2 linked regions of the Caenorhabditis elegans genome follow. The protein of the gene in region 1 purifies or fractionates together with the protein of each later gene. This does not show direct contact. Each region holds a gene or a part of one and is shown on either strand. Other genes may lie near its edges.

The links.
Region 2: the proteins of dgat-2 (region 1) and acs-22 purify together in Caenorhabditis elegans (affinity purification with western blotting, with the first as the bait; one study listed by BioGRID). This does not show direct contact.

What each region holds. Positions count from the first base shown.
Region 1 is NC_003283.11:17,658,584-17,662,508, forward strand, and holds dgat-2 (Acyltransferase), read left to right. Parts: upstream 1-1,719; 5' UTR 1,720-1,720; coding exon 1,721-2,146; intron 2,147-2,194; exon of another isoform or gene 2,195-2,266; intron 2,267-2,299; exon of another isoform or gene 2,300-2,373; intron 2,374-2,482; coding exon 2,483-3,094; 3' UTR 3,095-3,227; downstream 3,228-3,925. Other genes in the region: F59A1.11 (Serpentine Receptor, class T), read right to left, coding at 3,230-3,400, 3,771-3,878.
Region 2 is NC_003284.9:8,928,991-8,932,915, forward strand, and holds the start of acs-22 (Very long-chain fatty acid transport protein), read left to right. Parts: upstream 1-2,188; 5' UTR 2,189-2,328; coding exon 2,329-2,333; intron 2,334-3,925.

The sequences.
Region 1 (3,925 bases):
TGCTGGATTTGCCTTGTAAAAATATGTTTTTTTTTAATTGAAAAACTTTCCGAAAACTGAATTTTTACAATTATTACTAGAAAATCCCAAAAAAGTGGGTTTTTTTTTGCAAAAAAAAATGAAATTTTAATAATTTTTAATCGTTTATCTACTTTTTGAATAAATTTTGATCTTTTTAATGCAAATTTTGGCTGATATTCCATAAAACCAGTAAAAAATTCACATTTTTCACTATTTTTCCGTTAATTTTATGGAAAATCGTCAATTTTAGGAAGAAAATACATGAAAATCATCCGAAAAGGTTAATATTTTAATAGAAATGTTCAATTTTTATTATTTTCTCTGAAAAAACGGTTTATAATCGAGAAAAAGACGAAATTCGCTAAATTTTTCCGCTCGTCGAATAAAATGCCAAGTACGCAAGTGTGCCCCGATATTGCGTACTTTGCCGCCTACAGTACCCAATTTTTTATACAAAGTCTAAGTTTTTCGGCTAAATTTCAGGCCTAAAAATTCAAATACGAAGAATTTTAGCTAAAGTTACAATTAACAAAAAATACCCTTGCTGAAAAACACGATTTTGAAAAAAGAGCTTTTGGTGTTGTCGAATTCCCTCTAAAATCTATTTTCAAACCCTCAACTTTTGCTCGTATACTTTGCCTGAACCATGACTCAATGATACCCTTATCAACCCAAAAACTGCCCGTTTTCTGTACGTACAAACCTTAAAAATTGAAGTTCACGTGAATCTGAACACCCTAATAGTGGGCGGAGTTGCTCAATGTCGGCGAAATTTCCAAGTGCTGATTGTGCACATTTTGTTCTATAAATTGCGGGGGGTACCCCAACACAAATTGCGAAATTTCGTTGTCTTATCACTTGACTTTTCAATCTTATCAGTTTTTTTAAATCGATAGGTACACGGAGGCTAATGGTGTAGTCTAGTAGTCTAGTGACACGTATAAAAACCACAGGGTCTTAGTCATTTGTCTCATTTTCAAAATATAGTTTTGTTTTGAAAAATAATTTTGTTTTTTGCATTTTTAGCGTGACTTTCTACATTTTAAAGTTGAAAATTTGAGTTTCTCGCCTAGAAAAACCTATTAGCCAGTCCAGGGAGTCGAACCCCTGACCTTCTGAGCCATACCCAACCTTCTAACCTACTGCGCCACGTTACCGCCACTCGAGGGCGCTCACGCCTTGCAAGGTGGCGCAGTGGCTAAGAGGCTAGGCTATGGCGCAGAAGGTCCCGGGTTCGACTCCCTGGAAGGGTATATAGATTTTCCTAGACAAGAAATTCAATATTTTCACTTTTGAATTTGGAAAATCAACCATTTTTCGAGGTTGCGGAAATTTAGTGACATTTGTTGCAACTTTTCGTTTTCTTGAACTAATTTTGATTGGATACTGAATTACTCACCTGTAAAAACCTACATGGGTCTGCCGGGGTCGAACCCCTGACCTTCGGCGTCATAGCCAAGCCTCTTATCCCCTGCGCCACCTGTGAGCGCGCGCCACTTGGCAGCGTGGCGCAGTGGCTAGAAGGATAGATTACGGCGCAGAAGGCCAGGGGTTCGATTCCCCGACATTGAATATATGTTTTTCAAGGTGAGAAATTTAGAAATTTTACTTTACAAGTTCAAAAATGTATGGTTTTTCTGATTTTTTCAATCTCCTCCGAATTTCGTTCGAATTTCCATTTAAAGGTACAATTTCCAGCATGCTAAACTACCAAATTCACAAAAAGCTCACCGACATCAAGTGGGTGAACATCTTCTCCCCATGGGATCGCCAGCGTGCCTACTTCGCCTTGGTCGTCTGGTTCGGGCTCATCTACCCATTCTGCTGCCTGTGCCAGGTGGCTCCGTTTGTGCTCTTTTTCACCGGCCAGTGGATTATTTTGGGTCTCTACGCAGTTTGGTACCTTTACGATCGAGAATCTCCGAGAAGAGGAGGATATCGGGATAATTGGTTCAGAAATTTGTCGCTGCACAAGTGGTTCGCCGAGTATTTTCCTGTTAAACTTCACAAAACTGCGGAGTTGGATCCAAACCAAAATTATTTATTCGGATATCATCCTCATGGAATTCTCGGTGTCGGAGCGTGGTCTTGTTTTGGATTTGATGCGTGCAATGTGAAGCAAGTGGTGAGTTGAGACACAAAAATTTGAAAATTTCACATAGAAAAACCTATAAACAGTGGCGGGGATCGAACCTCTGGCCTTCTGCGTCATAGCCAGATCTGTTAGCCACTGCGCCACTACTGACTCGGCGCCTCAGTTCGACCTCAACAACAGGCGGCGAGAATGGCGCAGTGGGTAAGCGGATTGGGCTTTGGCTCAGAAGGTCAGGGGTTCGACCCCCAGGACATGCCTATAGGTTTTTCTAGGTGAAACGCTCGAATTTTTACTTTAAAAATCTCCAAATCGACCTAGAAATGACTTTTTTTCCATTGTTACCTTCAAAATATTAAGTTTTTCCAGTTCAAAGGCATCCGCTTCAACATCTGCACCTTGCCCGGCAACTTCACCGCAATGTTCCGCCGCGAGATCCTCCTCAGCATCGGTATGATCGAGAGCTCCAAAGAATCCATCGAGCACGTGCTCAACTCCGAGGAAAAGGGCCGTGCCGTTGTAATTGTCGTGGGTGGAGCCGCTGAAGCTCTTGAAGCTCACCCAGGGAAGCATACTCTAACACTGGCAAATCGCAAAGGTTTCGTGAGAGAAGCCGTGAAGACCGGAGCTCATCTGGTGCCAGTTTATGCGTTTGGAGAGAATGACATATATAAGCAAATTGACAACCCGGAAGGCTCGAAATTACGGAAAATTCAAGAATGGGGAAAGAAGAAAATGGGAATTTCACTGCCACTAATCTACGGAAGAGGATATTTTCAAATGGCTCTTGGGCTTCTTCCAATGAGCCGAGCTGTGAATGTAGTTGTCGGAGCGCCTATTCAAGTGGAAAAAGAGCTCGATCCTTCTAAGGAAGTCATTGATGAAATTCATGGAGTTTATATGGAAAAGCTCGCCGAGTTATTTGAAGAGCACAAGGCAAAGTTCGGAGTTTCCAAGGACACTCGGCTCGTTTTTCAGTGAAATAACTTTTATTTTAGATTATTTGTTTGATGTTTGATGTCTGTTATGTTATCATTTTTTATCACCAAATCGTGTAATTTTGTTTACGGGTTCATTACTGAATTATTGAGAAAATGAATATTTATTCTTTTTTTTTCACTCCACAATTGATAAGCTCCGTTTTTGAGTTGGCTCCACTTGGAAAATCTTTACATCAGAGTGTTGAATGGTTGCCGGGGGGCTTGGTGCTTTGAAAAATCCGGCTATAGACCAAGCGATGAGTACTGCGGAGAGAAATGAGTACCATTCGGTGATGACCAAGGCATACTGGAAGAAAAAACATAGTTTCAGGCTGTTTTAAGGGGGTTGAAAGTTGAAAATTCGAATTTCTCACCTAGAAAAACCTATATATGGTGTCGTGGGTTTGAACCCCTGACCTTCTGAGTCGAAGGCAGGCCTCTTAGCCACTGCGCCAAGGAGCACACTGCAGTCGGCAAGAAATTTGGGCGCCGCCGCGCAGATAGCCTAGTGGATAAGAGGCTTGACTACGACTTGGGAGGCCAAGGGTTCGACCCCCAGATAGTGCTTATAGGTTTTTCTAGACGAAAAGATCGAATTTTTTACTTGAAAACTTTGAATATCAGTCTGGAAACTATCTTTCCACATTTGAAATAGTCAGAACTTATAAACAACCCACTATAGTGTACTTCGCTGCATGTAATTGATACACATCTTCTCCGAAAACTATCAATATTACCACTGGTATGATGGAAATGATAACGAGTATCGCAAACAACATAACGACCTGAAAACTTTTTTTCGAAACTTTGTCCGATGCACCACCCTTATCGT
Region 2 (3,925 bases), on another chromosome or scaffold:
GAAAATGGTGTGCTGGTATAGGAATAGTTACTTAGAACTGAAATGTATACAAAATCAATGAAATTTTATTTAAACACCGGCTTAAATGTCTTAAATTGTAAGAAATCATCAAAAAATCTGGGGGTGGCATATAGAAGTTGCACGGCCAATTTTTCGATTTTTTGACCTATTTTCCGTAATTTTTGAGATATCATCACAAAAGTTTTGGAGTATAGGTTTTTCACCATTGTGAATCCGATTTCAATACCCTTTGCTTACCAAATTACACAGAAACTGCCATAACCGAAAATTTAGGGGGTGGCATATAGAACATGCACGCACTGTAGTTGATTTGTAATGTTTTCTAATTATTTTTAATTTCCCAAACAAACGTGTCTTTTTTCCAAAAAAATAAATAAATTTTTTAATCATGTTCCCGAAAACTTTAGTAAAATCCTTTCAAACGAAATCTATTTTGGTAGGTTCATGAATAATTGAAATCAAGTTTTGTTCCAATTTATTGAAAATTTCGTCTCAAAAACCAGAATAATTATCTAGGAAATAGTTCAACTTGCAGATTGGTTTTTTGCTGTTTTAAAGTGTCCCTTTTGCCGCCTCAATAACAAAATGCATTATCATTTTCTGTTTTTGTCGTATCTTTATTAGTTAAGTCCACTGTATTTTCAACAATCACTTCCAATTATTTTTGTAGACTGGCGACTTTTGATCTGACCATAATGATGTAGGTTATTTTTAAAAGTATAAAGACTTAAAATTTAAAAAGTTGAAAAGTTGATAAACATTCCATGTTCAATTAAGACTAGTTCATTATTCATTTTAACCAATCTTCTTTTTCTGTTCTGTTTTGCAACTTGATTATTTCCAATCAACTGACAAACCACAGATCCCACCTACTTACTTTTGCTTTCACTGGTAGGTTCCGTGATGAACCTAAACATAAGACAAAACGGTTTTTCACCGAATGACATCATCATTACCGCCCACTATCCATCTTCTCACTTAAAAGAAGTTGCCGCGTTCTCCCTGAAAGGAATTTTAAGACCAAAATGATCTGATCACACCTGAACGTTCAATTTATAATTATGAATTTTTTGTTTTAATTTAATTTGGCTCTTTTTCAGAAACAATGGACAATTTTACAAAAAATATGATGCCCATGAAAAAGTGGATTTGGAAGAATTGGTAAGTTTAAGGCAGTATAGGTGAGTTCCTTTTCAGATTTTGGTGGAGGGTCTTTTTTTGTTTTGAGTGTCCAGATTCGCTATATTCAAAATTCTATTTGTTTTTAATTTGAAAACACATAGACAATTCATAACTGTGACTTTGGTCTTAAATGTTTTCTAGGGCGGCTTTAACTAAAAAATTAGATTATTGGAATTTGTGAATATGATGCCGATATTAGTGGAACATATCACTTGCAATTTAAACTATGTAGCATTTTTTCTAAAAGGATGAATTCTAAAATTACGGTACCAATTAAAGTATTTTTCGGTTAATGTAGCAAGACAGAGTTACAGCTACAGAAAAATGCAATATCGTGTTTTGCAATATGAATTAGTAATATGCAAGACAATTTCTCCTTTGGTCCGTAGGGTTCAAGACTAATAGAGATAATACCGTATCCAGCAAACAACCAAGTCAATTTTGAAAATGTTTTGTACAAATAGATACGTTTCGTTTTAGGGTTTCATTAAAAAAATTAATAGGAGAAAAGTTTCTAAGAAACCCTTACCAACTCAAATTTTATGTTCTTCAACACTATCAGACAGATTATTGGAGTACAGTCCATCGTGTAGATCTTGAATAAATAAAAAAATGTAATCTTTTCAAATAATACCTATGGACAATTCACCATTATACATTGTGAAACACATATCCCACAAATTAAAAGACATTTCTTCCAGCAAGTCACTTTTTGCACAGTAGTTTTTGGTCAAGTTTTTTTTTTCCTTTTGGAAAAATTTTAACTTTTAAGCCCATTTCAGTGTAAAGTGAGTATTAAAAGCAATAGTAATACACTTTGGCTCATATTCAGTGCCGTAGAAACGACGACATATTGTGAAGAGCTAAAAAGCGAAATGGGACAAGAGAATCGGCATAGCATTGAAAAAAGGCACTTGTGGTTGGTGACTACAAGAATATTAGCAAAGTCTTTTCCTACTTTCTATCTTTTCGTTCTCTTCCTCTCACCGATGAGCAAACAAATCCGGTGGTGGCGGTGGTGACGCGGAGTTGTTTCAACCATTTCCTTCTTTCCGTTCAACTGCCAAATACTATTTTTCGCTAAGTTATATTTGAGAAATCACAAGAAGCTTACAAATAGGACAGATGAGGTATGGTTGACAATTTTTTATTCATTTTTGTAGACGTTAAGATCTGAAAGTGAGAACCTTAGAATTTTTAAAATTAATTTCGTAACCAGTGTGTTTCCGAATAGTCATTCAACCTGAATACACAGTTTGAATTTTTTTTAGTTTTTCATACTACAAAATACGGAAATAAGAGTGTGAATGTTTTTGTAATTAGACAAGAATGACTAGATGCAAGCATGAAATTTTAAATAATAAGGTACTTTCTGAATTTTAAATGATACACAATATTGTTTTTAAAACGTGTATTAATTTTATAACCAGACATTACGTTGGATGAAACATTACGAATACAGTTTTTTAAAAAGAATGAATTTTTAAAAAGAATGTGAAATAGAAATGTTGGCTGTTCCCATTTTAAAAATATGCTGAACATTGTTCTGTAACAAATTTAAAAAATGCTTCAAAGAGGTAGAGAAATGTCTTTTAAAAATAGTTTATTGTTGCCAGTTGTACTGTTCAACTGTTCTTTGCCACCCGGCACATACAGTGTGCGTCATTGTTTATTCTTTTTTGCTCTCTTTCTTGACGACCTTCCAACCTGTTGATTGGTGTCTCAGTTTGACCTTAAAAATCTAGAAACATTCAGTATTAAAATTGTCAGCTTGAATAGCAGTTCAAGTTTTATGAATTATATACAAAAAATATATACAATCTAAGTTGTTTATTCCGGAGTGTTTTTTTTTTTTGGAAACCTCTAAATTCTTAAAGAAATATTTTCAAAACTTTAAATAGATCAGTGAACTTCTGAAACGTGTTTTCAAAAATAATATTAGAGTTTAGAAATAAAGTTTGTTAAAAATTTTGTGAAAAGTTGTTTCATAAAGAATTATCAAATTACAATTCCAATTATTTTGTTTGCTTTTTGTTTTTCAGTCTGTATTGTAAGCGATTTTTCCGCTCACGTGTATAAAAAGTTTGAACGAGAGAAACACAGTTCTTGTCATATTTTAAAATTTTCCACAGTCAGAGTAGTTTAATAATTTATTCCACATTTCTAGCATATTTCAAATAGCAAATTTTAACCGTTTCCTTGTAAAAAATTAAAGTTACATTCCCTAGGCCATATGTTGGTGAAGTGCCGGGATTGAGTTCAACTGCCTTGTTTATTAGATTTCCGCCCTGATTTAAATCATGATCTAGACTACAATTAATGTTTGAAACCTGACCGGTGCTTGCTTGTGATGTTTTACATGTTGGCAGTTCATTGATAAGATAAAATGCACAGTCGTATCATGTCACGGGAAACATGAGCGTTAAAAACATGAACATACCGAGTTGTATTTATTTGTTCAGTAACTACAGTGTGGCGATAAGATATTAAAATTTTGAAACGGTGTTTTGATGATGATAAAGTAATATGAACATAGGATTTGTGCATTTTTGATGTGCTCTCAAACTTTGTTTCATAGTAAAGTAAACGCTTTTATATCTCTCTTTTCACATTAAAAAATAACATTTTATGAAAACTCAGCTTCAGGAAAATGCCGTTTTCATATAAAAACTTGATTCAAAATTAAAGTGTAAATAAAAATTTAATTCATTTTCAAAATATT